Neurospora crassa OR74A: one gene and its partners. The protein of the gene in region 3 interacts with the protein of the main gene of each other region in a biochemical or structural test. Links are inferred from orthologs where the notes say so. Each region holds a gene or a part of one and is shown on either strand. Other genes may lie near its edges.

Region 1 (3,875 bases), about 500 kb from region 3:
TCGGGTCTCGCCGTTTCAGGAGCTCAATAGGTATATCCGGTGTGTTCTCGTCCCCATGCAACTTTGTTTCTTTCCCTTCAGCCCCTCCGGTTGAGCCGGGCCTCTCCGTCCCACAATAGTCCGTTGTATAACTCCAATCAAACGGCTTGACCACCTCGCTGATGCCCGCGCTCGTCTTCTCGCGGCTCGAGCTCCACTCGCCCGCGTACGCCACCTGCAGCATCTTTTCGCCCGTTTTGTCCACGCGCTCGAGCGCGTCCTCGGCATTGAACTCGATCGACCAGCCCGTTGGCCGGTGCGTGATCGAGACCAGGTTATCACCGAAGATCATCTCGGGAATTGGAATTCCTAGCCGCTCCGACATGGCGTCGATGGGACCTGATTTGAGGATGGGCAGCTTACGCGTAGCAACAACGAAGGCGCCTTGAACGTGCATTGTGGTGGCGGCTTCGAGGGCCGAAGGGGAGGGGTACGGCTCATTGAGCGATGATATGTGGTTGATTTTGACGGACGTCATGGTGGGCGTCGTCGTCCTCGTCGTCGTCGTCGGGTAAGGGATTCGGTCACTGTTGTGTACGGGCGAGGGCGTTTCGAGGTATTTGACGCCCAGTTGTTGCTGTGCTTGTGGAAATGTAAGAGGTCAGACCGTTATTTGAGGTCAAACGTCAAGCTTGGTACAATTCCCAGCAGCTGATGGTGCGAAGAAGGCCGATAGTTTTGCCATGTCCAGATAGTAAATGAAAACTGTCAGAGGCTCAGAGCAGCTTGGAGATCTAGCGGGGTTTAGCGGGGCCCTCCCCCCATCCAGCTCCGATGTTAGCGCGCACCTGCAGGGGCGGCAGGGCTTGATTCCGTTGCTTGGATGTCGGGTTAATCCCGTCGCTGCGACGACATCTGCCATCAAAGGTGCTTCTGCCAAATCTGAGAAAAACAAAAGATATCAGACAAATGAGATCCTCACAGTCATATTCATTGCCGTGTCAATTACCACCGAGTCAGGTCTCTCCCGGTTGTTAAGTCCAAGGGCGTGTCTCCTGTAATCCTCTGGACGCTGCTGAGCCCAGCCCACCTTCCCGCTGCACCTATCATTGCTGGTCTCAGTTGTTTGATCAGGGAGCCCAGGAGGGAAGGTTCGGCGCAGCCAGACAAGTGGAAGACAATGACTGTTGCTAGGCAACGGAACTGAGCCCCGGTAAATAAAGCCCCAATCCTGGCCCACCATCTGGGAAGTGTCGTTTCAACTCCAATCAGCATCAACTTCGCTGGCCTTGTGTAAAACCAACCTTGCTTGACAACCAACTTCAACCAATAAATACTGAAGTGGCCTGCGCTTTCAACACGACGCCCTAGGAATCGAGTGTATTGCTTTGCGCCCGCCCGCTAGTTTCCCATCATCTATGCAACATCCCACCTAGACTTCCTGGCGACTGTTTCTCATTCGCGATCCTAGAAATCGTCGTGCCCAAGATGGCGGGCCAACCAATGGAGTCACGCTTCGGGCGCATGTCGATACATGACGAAAACAACGATCCAAGCGATGGCGCTCGACTTCAGCAAAAGGCGAGAGAGCTCAAGTCAAAGGTATGATTTATACAACATTGTTTGCGTGATAGCCTCTCTGACTGATTTGCGCGATCGTAGGCAGGTCCCAGTCAAGTCCAACACACGAGCGCCCCCGGCAGGCCGAATCTCTTCAAAGTAGCCCTTCAATCGCAAAGCGGCAATACCGTAGTAAGCACCTCCGTTCCTTGTTCCTTCGCAGATCGCGCAAAGGAAGAATCCGCCCATCATCTCTAGCGAACCTCCCTCACCACGAAAACCACAGAGAACCGTTCCCGTTGCCACGAAATCTTCGACCATTGTTTCATCCGCCGCTCACAAGTCCACAACATACGCCGGCATTCGTAGAGTCGACGACGATGATCACGACGAACTCTCGCAGCCAATGGCCTCCGCTAGCGTGTCTTCGACAGGTACATCTACATCCGAGTCATCCTCTAGCGCCGGCTACGAACAGTCGATATCCCCTAAACAATTCCACCTTGGCATGTTTGAAATCGGTCGGCCGCTTGGCAAAGGCAAATTCGGCCGCGTATACCTCGCGCGGGAGCGCAGCTCTGGTTTCATCTGTGCCCTCAAGGTGCTCTACAAGTCGGAATTGCAACACGGCACTGGAGTCGAGAAGCAAGTGCGTCGCGAGATCGAAATTCAATCCAACCTACGACACCCCAATATCTTGAAGTTGTACGGACACTTCCATGACAGCAAGCGCATCTTTTTGATTCTCGAGTACGCCGGCAAGGGCGAGCTGTACAAGCACCTGCGCAAGGAAAACCGTTTCCCCGAATGGAAAGCAGCGCAGTATGTTGCGCAAATGGCATCCGCCCTCAAATACTTGCACCGCAAGCACGTCATCCACCGCGACATCAAACCGGAGAACATTCTAGTGGGCATTCACGGGGAAATCAAGATATCGGATTTCGGCTGGAGCGTGCACGCGCCCAACAACCGGAGGCAGACGCTCTGCGGAACCCTGGATTACCTGCCGCCAGAGATGATCCGGAGCGGATCCAAGGATAACTGGTACAATGAGAAAGTGGACTTGTGGAGCTTGGGCGTGTTGACGTATGAGTTTTTGGTCGGCGAGGCGCCGTTTGAGGATACGCCGATCATGACACAGAAGAGGATTGCGAGGGCGGATATGACCATTCCCGAGTGGGTCAGCAAGGAGGCAAAGGATCTGATCAAGAAGGTAAGAAGTCATTGTTTCCCATAAGGATGGTCTTTCAATGCTAACCCATTATCCAGTTGCTGGTACTCGACCCTGAGAAGCGTCTTCCTTTGGAGGAGGTGGAGAACCACCCTTGGATCTTGAAGCACTGCGTCAAGGGAGAAAGAGCTGCGAACCGGGAGAAAATGGCAAGTAAGATGGGCAACTGAGGGGTGTCTCTTGGCTTTGCTTTTACTTTGTCTGATATCCGTCGAACTTTCTTCGAGCACTGCGGAAGCGTGGAGCCTACTTGCATTGTTAGCTTGTTTTTCTTGTTTTTTTCTTGTTTTTTTTCTTCTTTTTTTTTTTCCTTTTTTTTCTTTTCCTTTCTTTTCTTGTTCATGTTGTAATACGGGCGTTCTTGGGCGTTTGAGCGAGAGGAAGAGGGCTAGGATCAGGATCCCCGTATTGTCAAGGGGAGGAGGCTTGTGAGTTCATTATCTGTGCATATACGTAACTACGTTCCGGCATTTAGCGAGCAATGGACTGGACATTGACTTTAGTTTATGTATCACATGTGTGACCAGTGTATATATCAGCGCCACAAGATCAGAGCTGGAATCTCAAGTTGAAGTGGTATCATTGATTGTACATGTCAAGAAACGTTCATCACAAAAACAGCAGGAGTACATGGTATAAAACGCCCTCTGCATCCGCGATACAGGCCCGAGATCACCTATAAATCTCCTCAAACGGCCTCTTGTCCGAAAAGCACGAGTCCCACACCTCGTTGACCACCTTTGTTGCATGTACATCGTCCTTGCACGTCGGTCGTGCCATAACCGACTGGATGGCTCGCATACGAACGCAGTTCTGAAATTGTTGGGTAAGCGTCCAATTGCCTCGGACAATAGACTCGCGTGTCCATCTGCACTCGCCGCTAAGCATTGATGCTCGGATCTGCTCAGAACATCCCAAAGATTAGCAACTGTCCTTCCAGCTCGAAACGAAACAGACGGAACAGGAAAAGGAGAGGGAACTCACCTCAGTGCAAGCAGCGTGCCTCAAACTCTTCTCCCCGAACCAATCCACCTTCCACCTCAGATGATCCCAAGCATGCACCATCTCATGCGCCAGCGTATCCTCCAAGTGTCCTCGGTTGCGC
Region 2 (4,184 bases), on a different chromosome or scaffold from region 3:
GGCAGCTAGCTATACTATTTGGAGGGTTTCTAGTACCCCTAACAGCTCTAATAAGGGGTATTAGGTACATTTGACACCCCTTATTAGCTCCCTCGAGGGGTCCCTGGCAATTGTAAATTTATATAGCGAGCCGGCTAACGGCTAGCACTTAGCAGCTAGTAGGTATACTATACTAAAATAATACATATAGTGAAATTCCTAGTATTTGTTAAGTATTTGCATTTATTAGGTCTAGCATTTACGAGGCACATTACTATAAATAGAAGTGTCCGGTGAGTGGGATTCATTAGTAAATCCAATATATACCCCACGGGCACTAAACTCCTAGTTGTAGGTCCTTCTACAAGTTAATACTAGTTTGTTTGTTAGTTTGGTTCTTTAGCTATACGTTGAATAGGAGAAATTGTTTAAAGCTTCTATTAGCCTTTAAAGAGAGAAAAGGGCCTCTGTTGGAAGCGTTATATAATAATAGCCAGGGTGGAAAATGCTATGGAAGCCTTCTTATACCCCTCTTTGTCTCATTTAGGACCTCCAAGACTGGAAGATATGAGAGAGTAGTCCCCTTTTAGTACCTGTCTGAATGAGGTTCAAACGTTTTTCCTACCCTCGACATTTGGTAGCTGGCTCTAGAGTAGAAATTGGCTTTTTTTTAGTACTAAACCTACAAACACACTAAAGTTAGATTGTACAATTCAATTCTAAATCAAATATTGAAAAAGTTTAATTGTACGGTCAATATTATCTATCCGTACGGTAATGAAAAATAGACTTTCATATTCTTTTTCTAACTTAATAGAGTTTAGTATTAACTTACCAAAATGCATTATATTTTTTCTGATCTTTTACTCTATCTAACACTCTTTTTGGAGTGACCAGACCTACCTAGTAGCCCTAGGAAACTCTCAAAGAAGATAGCTATTATAAATAAATAATTAATAAGATTTTAGATGAAAAAGGCTTAAGGGGTAGTTTTTCCATGATGCTTAGGGATATAGATTTGGTACCTACCTTAAAAAATTCCTCAAAAATGAACGAATAGTTTGGTGCCACTTTCAGTTTCATTAGTCTCCGTTTTACTAAGTTATACTTAATAAAGCAAAAGTAGACCACCGTACGGATAGACAATATTAACTGTACGATTAGACTTTCTCCAAATATTACCCAGCGTAGGACTTAACACTTTTAGCACTATTTCAGGCTTGCATCGCCAAACTCCACCGAATGAAACTTGATAAGAAAAAGTGTCAATCGAAGTACCGCGCCAATGATGAACCAGCCGAGGTTTGGAGAGTACTGCATAGTACATAGAGATTTGTCAGTGTACTGTGTACATCTGTACCTCCACTTGCTCCACTCTTCCTGCAAGACGCACGAGGGTCCGCTAGGTGCATGATCCAAGCATTTTTTTTTCCAACCCTTCCTCGTAGATGGTTTATTTTGCATCACCAACAGCCAACCTCGAGACACATTGTGCCGGCCCGCTGTCCATTGATTTCGGCAACGACGGATTTAGGAGATATGGGCTCATCCAAGTCACCGAGGCAAAGAAAGAGGAAAGGCATGGGGCCGGCTTTCGACGAAGCAGCAGCACTTGCTCAACTGACCGAAAAGATCGACCAAACTCTCGCTGGCGTCGGCACTGACCAACACGCGTCACCAAATCGCAAGAGACCGAACACCACAGCTGATGATCGAGATGCAAAGAGGCGCCAGAAATCTCTACTGGGCACTGAAGAAGGACAAGAGGACCGTTCCAGCAAAGACCAGTCCCACAATGCAACAAAGGAGGTTCTGCTGGAGGAAATTTTGGCCTTGGGCGGAGACGAGGATGATCTTGAGCTTGTCGCCAATGTTGATTCCGACAATGAAGAGGGACCTGGCATGAAATCTGCGTCGGCGCCCGAAAAATCCCTGGATAAGTCATTTCATGAGGAACTGACAAAGTTCGCCTTGAGCCTGGGCTTCCAGAACATACCCCGCGAGGATGACCTTGAAAGCGTGTCGTCTGAAAACCCCGTCGACGAGGAACAAGACGAAGAAGACGACGAAGAAGAGGACGACGACGCGGAACAAACAAAACAGGATGACAGCCAGGATCAGGAACAGCCTCTAGCCATTTCTGCCACAGTAAAAAGTGAGAGCACAACTACGACCGCCCAAGACACCCTGCGCGGGAAGAAAGGCAAGAACAAGCTGGTTAGTTCGACGCTCTCGCTGCCGCAGACTTACCTGGCGGTATGCTAACTTGAGTAGGGTTTTGAGCCCAGACCTGACTGGCATGCTCTCGACCTCGAGGGCCTACCTGCCTTCACACCATCTGCCGACGTTAGGCAATATTCTTCAGCGATTGCCAACCTCAAAGCTTACGCGGACGCTCTCTTGAAGGAGGACGCGGCAAGATACAACGCCCTCCAGGCCTCCAGCTCCACTCAGAAGTTCATGTCGACCATTATGTCTTCCGGCACCTTATCCGACAAGGTATCTGCCTTAACCTTGTCGATACAAGAGTCTCCTCTCCACAACCAGAAAGCCTTTGAAACCCTGATCGGGTTGGCCGGCAAGAAAAGCCGTAGTCAGGCACTCGCTGCCCTGGGCGCTCTAGTGGATCTGCTGGGCAATGGCACAGTTCTGCCAAGTAATCGCCGGCTTCGTCCGTTCAACATGCAACCCGCCTTGCTGGCCGCTTTACAAGATCAAGCTGTGCTGCATTGGGTTCAGGGCCAGAAGCTCCCAGCCAAGCTAACTGATTCTTACCTGATGATGTGGGCATACGAGGATTGGCTCAAAGCAGCGTATTTTCGCATTGTCCAGCTCCTCGAAATCTGGTCGACTGATCAGATTGAGCATTCGAGAATGCGCGCGCTGGAATTTGTTTTCACATTGCTCCGGGACAAGCCGGAACAAGAGGCCAATTTGTTGCGACTTCTTGTTAACAAACTCGGTGATCGCGAACGGAAAATTGCATCTCGGGCGTCATACCTCCTCTTGCAGTTGCTCAACATTCACCCTGCGATGAAAAGCATTGTCATCAGCACGGTAGAGCAAGAGGTTTTGCTCAAGCCAGGCCAAGGTCTGCGCACCAAATACTACGCCATCATCACCCTGAATCAAACCATCTTGAGCACCAAAGAGCCCGCTATAGCCAACACGCTACTCCGAATCTACTTCGAGGCTTTCCTTTCCCTCCTCAAAACTGGCTCATTGGGAAACCTGGAAGCGCTAAATTCCGAGGACAAATCTGGCGGCAGCAACAGGAAAGCTAAGAAGGGCAAGCGAAATCACACCGAGGCTTCTGCCAACGAGCAGGATACGACACAAAAACTCGTATCCGCACTGCTTACTGGTGTCAATCGTGCGGTACCCTTCACTACCGCCGACGATGAGACCATGGAAAAACATCTCGATACCTTGTTTCGCATCACGCACTCGTCGAACTTCAACACCAGCGTGCAAGCACTCATGCTCATTCAACAGCTCGCCGTGACCAAACATCTCGCTGTTGACCGATTTTATCGGACATTGTACGAATCATTATTGGATCCCAGACTCATCACGTCATCGAAGCAAGCATTGTACATGAATCTACTTTTTCGAGCCCTGAAGAATGATGCCGACGTGCGGAGAGTGAAGGCTTTTGTCAAGAGATTGGTTCAGGTGCTTAACCTGCATCAGCCGTCCTTCGCATGCGGGGTGCTATATCTGATTTCCGAGCTGGAGAACATGTTTCCTGACCTTCATTCGTTGCTTACTGTTCCCGAGGAGAATGAAGATGATGGCGTGGAGGCTTACAAGGATGTCAATGATGATGCGGCTCTGCAGCGCAGTCTCTTGCGTGAAGACGCACCAACTTCCCGTCGTGCCACAGGATATGATGGACGAAAGAGAAATCCCGAGCATAGCAATGCGCACAGAAGCTGCTTGTGGGAATTGGTAAGTGCCTATTTGAACTCTGATTGCATGTGAAACCAGTTTACTAACCTCAAAACCACCAGGCTCCTCTTCTATCTCATTTCCATCCATCCGTACACGTTTATGCCAGTAACCTTCTCGTCCGTCAAAAGGGCCTGCCGAAGCCGGATTTGGCCAACCACAGCCTCATGCATTTCCTGGACAAGTTTGTCTACCGCAACCCCAAGATTACCGAGACCAAGCGCGGAAGCTCAATCATGCAGCCGGTCCTCGCT
Region 3 (4,249 bases):
GGCTAAAGTCTGCTCGCTTTTTTGATCTGAGTGTTCCGCCCATGATTGTTTCACGGGCGACTTGTGTCGAGGGTGTCGATTTGCGTGGCCATGAGCCATACCAACTCCGAGATTTCTGGGGCTGCGAGTCTGTTAGCATCGGGTGTAACAGGCATTAAACAGGCTGGATATGGTGGCTGAAGAGAAATAGGCTACCTCTTTCAGCCCTCGCTTGCTCGAAATAGGAGTTGTATTTGCGGTCGCATTGGGCTGGGATGTTGATAGAGCATTATCAGGTGTCGAGGTCGTCGTCGACGAAGGTGGGTTCGAAGCGGTCGGCATTGGAACGGCTTTTGAACGCCATATAGAGGCTGCTAGGCTCGAGGACGATTTCGGCGGCATATCGGATGTGGACGTTGAGGACTCGGTGACAGCACTACCATCCGCCGGCTCGGTTGGAGGGTTTGGTTTCGCCTTTTTTCGACGACCCATGGTGAAGACCATGGCGAGCAAGGCCAACAACCTAACAGATTCCAGTCCCCTAAGATTATAGGGCAAACTTTGGCCACATTGCCGTTTATTTCGTCAAGTTGAAAGGATCGAAAATGGGCATGCGACGAGTATTGCGTGGCGCCTATACCGTAGGGACAAGTCGACAAGCCGACGAGGCACCGCTCAGGCTACAAATCCGATGTGTACTTCTACTTACACTACACGGGTACCGCCGGCGGGGAGGGAGCGCTTTCATCCATTATCAAAGGCTCCAGCTCGGATGCATGTACGTCATTTGCCAGGTAGCGCACAGTCCAGGGGAACCGGATAGGTAACGAAGTACCTACACTTTATTACCTGGAGAGGGGGACCATGTGAACGAATGCTGATGTTATTACAAGTACCTACTTGATGGTCTAGTGTAGTATCAAATTCATTCTTCCATCAGACTAGAATGATATTCCAATACCGTACGATCCTAACATCAGACGACATGTTAAGTGTAGGTAGGTACCTCTAGACAATTGTACATCCCGCCTTGGAGAATTATATGTACCTCGCAATGGCCAATAGGTAACTCATTGATAGCACGTTCTCAGCAATCCCCTCTATCTCTAGGGTGTAGGTACCTAACGGCCTTCAGTACCCTACCTCTACTTACCGTGTACTTCCCTGCAACGCATGCGGCTGGCCCGTTGGCTGCCCGTCTCCGCCCGTGCAAAAGGTTCGGTACGTACCTGGCCATGAACGTGACAGCGTCCTGTCAGCTGACGCCGTGGCACTCGTGGACACAAGACAGGCGCTGCTAGTACCCCTACAGGGGAACCCCGCAAGACTCAGAACCCGCAACGAACCGACATGCACGCGGCCCGCGTACCTAGAGATGGCAGAATCGTAGCCGATGCTCACCGCATTCCTTATCGTTATCTGGCCACGGTGAACGGCGACGGACCCACCAAAAATTTTCGGCAGCGGACAGTGGAAGCGGCCTGGGTCAGTTTTTGTCAGTGCTTGTCGATTCATTCTGAAGTGTGAAGGCGGGCAAAGGGACGAGGGATCCAGTGCGGGTATCTCTCCAATTGCAACTCCAAACACATCCGTCCATCCATCAGGTCCTTTCTTTATACCCATCAGTTCACAATGGGTGCGCAAAAGCGCAAGGAAGGCCCGGGCGGCGCCCCAGTCAACAAATCAACACAATCAGCCTCCGAATCGAGACCGTCAAAGAGACCAAAGTCCAACGATGCCGGCAGCAAGGCGGGCGCAAAGACGGGCAAGCAGGGCAACAAGCCGGCTCCCAAGTCCGACAAGCCTGCTCCTCCTGCTCCTACCGCCCCGGCTACATCTACGCTGCTCAAGGAAGAGGAGCCAATGTTCCCCAGAGGCGGCGCCAGCATCCTGACACCTCTCGAATACAAGCAAATCCAAGTCCAGGCCAAGAACGACGCCCTGTTCGAGGAGCAATCCAGCAAGGCCACCGCCAAGAAGGCTGGTGAGAAGGAGGGCAAGCAGAAGAAGTCCAAGAAGAGGTCAAAGTCCGACGACACACCCGCGAAGCCCGATGCGGACGCCGTCAAGGTTGAAAGTCTCAACTTCAAGGTATGCGCCGGAACACTCATGGGTTCAGTCCTATCATCCAAGTACTAACTGTCCGCAGCGTCTGGTAAAGGGCTCCTTGGTCCTTGGTTCCGTCTGCGCCATCAACTCTCTCGACATCGCCGTTGCTCTACCCAACAATATTATCGGCCATGTCCCCATCACTGCGATTTCCGCCCCCCTAACAAAACGCTTGGAGGCCAGCGCCGGTAACGACAATGCCGAAGAGTCAGAAGACGAGAACGACAACGACGTTGACCTCGAATCCCTCTTCCAGATCGGCCAGTATGTCCGCGCCTACGTTGTATCGACGGTCGACGAGGCTTCTACACACACCCCTGGAAAGGCCAAGCGCCATATCGAACTCTCCCTTCAACCTTCTCTCGCCAACACCGGTATGGCGGAGCAAGACGTTGTTGTGAACAGCACAGTTATGGCCGCCATTGCCAGTGTGGAGGACCACGGTTATGTTATGGACATCGAGATCGCCGATTCGAAGTTGCAAGGTTTCCTTGCTCGCAAGCAGGTCGACAAGAGCATCCCCCAGGAGGCTCTGCAGCCAGGTGCCGTCCTCCTCTGTATCGTCACCAAGAACGCCAAGGGCAAGGTCGTTCAGTTGTCCACATTGGGTGAAACCATGGGCAACGTCGAGAACGTCCCTTCGACTGCTACCACCATCGACACATTCCTCCCCGGTACTGCCGCCGACGTGCTCGTGTCCGAGGTTTCCAGCCACGGAATTGTTGGCAAGATTATGGGATCGCTGGATGTCACCGCTGATCTGGTTCACTCTGGCGCTGGTCCGGATGGCATCGATCTTGAAGACACATACAAGGTCGGCTCTCGTCTGAAGGCCAGAGTCATCTGCAACTTCCCTACTGCAAAGCACCCCAAGCTGGGTATCTCTGTACTAAAACACGTTACCTCGTTGAAGCCAAAGACTGCTTCCAAGGACGACCAACCAGTGGTGCCATTGCAGGCTCTCCCTCACTCGACGATCGTGGAGAAGTGCACCGTTAAGCAGGTCGAGCCTGAGATCGGTCTTTACGTCGATGTTGGTGTCGAGGGCGTGTCTGGGTTTGTGCACATCTCCCGCGTCAAGGATGGCAAGGTTGATGCCCTCTTCGAGAACAGCGGACCCTATAAGGTGGGATCTGTTCACGCTGGTAGGGTTGTCGGCTACAACGCCTTTGATGGCATGTATCTCATTTCCTTGGAGAAGAGTGTTCTTGAGCAGCCATTCCTTCGCATCGAGGACATTCCTGTCGGTGCAGTTGTTTCTGGTGTGGTTGAAAAGATGGTGGTCAACGCCGCCGGTGTTGGTGGCCTTATTGTCAAGATTGCTGACGGTATCTCTGGCTTGGTCCCCGAGATGCACTTCGCTGACGTTCACCTTCAGAACCCCGAGAAGAAGTTCAGGGAAGGCCTGAAGGTGAAGGCGCGTGTGCTCTCGACTGACGCTGCCTCTCGCCAGATCCGCCTTACTCTCAAGAAGACGCTCGTCAATTCCGATCTTCCTGCCATCCAATCGTATGAGCAAATTGCTGTTGGCCAACAGGCGCTCGGTACCATCATCAACGTCTTGCAGCACGGTGCGATTGTGCAGTTCTACGGCAGGCTCCGTGGTTTCTTGCCAGTTTCTGAGATGAGCGAGGCCTACATTCAGGATCCCAAGGAGCACTTCCGCGTTGGCCAGACTGTCAGCATCTACGTCATCAGCTTCGACCCCGATGCCGCCAAGCTTATTGTTTCTTGCAAGGACCCATCTGCCTTTGGTCTTGAGAAGCAGTTGGCCCTCAAGAAGCTTCAGATCGGTGATGTGGTGTCGGCTAAGGTCACGCAGAAAACTGACGACGATGTTTTTGTTGAGCTTGCCGATAGCTCTCTCAAGGCCATCCTCCCCGTCGCTCACTTGACGGACAAGTCGGTCAGCAAGACTCAGTCTGCCCTCAAGAAAATTCACGTCAACCAGACTCTTGCCGAGTTGGTGATCTTGGAAAAGAACGAGGCTCGCCGTTCCATCATTCTCTCCCAGAAGCCCAGCCTTGTCAAGGCTAGCAAGGAAGGCAAGTTCCTTACTACCCTTGATGGTGCTCGCGTCGGAGATGAGGTTTCTGGTTATATTCGCAACATCACTGCTACGGCTGTCTTCGTCCAGTTCGGTGGCAAGTTGACCGCCTTG

What was found. The genes of interacting proteins can lie anywhere in the genome.
Region 1: the proteins of NCU06272 (region 3) and stk-13 form a complex in vitro, tested with the Saccharomyces cerevisiae proteins (2 studies listed by BioGRID, with this or other methods). The link is inferred for Neurospora crassa OR74A from reciprocal best matches to the Saccharomyces cerevisiae genes RRP5 and IPL1.
Region 2: the proteins of NCU06272 (region 3) and NCU09894 form a complex in vitro, tested with the Saccharomyces cerevisiae proteins (2 studies listed by BioGRID). The link is inferred for Neurospora crassa OR74A from reciprocal best matches to the Saccharomyces cerevisiae genes RRP5 and MAK21.

The regions. Positions count from the first base shown.
Region 1 is NC_026503.1:2,644,677-2,648,551, reverse strand, and holds stk-13 (serine/threonine-protein kinase), read left to right. Parts: upstream 1-1,172; 5' UTR 1,173-1,467; coding exon 1,468-1,581; intron 1,582-1,641; coding exon 1,642-1,731; intron 1,732-1,825; coding exon 1,826-2,752; intron 2,753-2,808; coding exon 2,809-2,940; 3' UTR 2,941-3,375; downstream 3,376-3,875. Other genes in the region: NCU00109 (TipA protein), read right to left, coding at 1-517; NCU00107 (mitochondrial inner membrane protease ATP-23), read right to left, coding at 3,443-3,670, 3,755-3,875. UniProt on the Saccharomyces cerevisiae protein: Component of the chromosomal passenger complex (CPC), a complex that acts as a key regulator of chromosome segregation and cytokinesis.
Region 2 is NC_026501.1:3,985,503-3,989,686, forward strand, and holds the start of NCU09894 (CCAAT-box-binding transcription factor), read left to right. Parts: upstream 1-1,384; 5' UTR 1,385-1,389; coding exon 1,390-2,196; intron 2,197-2,253; coding exon 2,254-3,930; intron 3,931-3,992; coding exon 3,993-4,184.
Region 3 is NC_026503.1:2,145,358-2,149,606, forward strand, and holds the start of NCU06272 (mito ribosomal protein S16), read left to right. Parts: upstream 1-1,449; 5' UTR 1,450-1,611; coding exon 1,612-2,070; intron 2,071-2,128; coding exon 2,129-4,249. Other genes in the region: NCU06271 (hypothetical protein), read right to left, coding at 1-121, 196-483.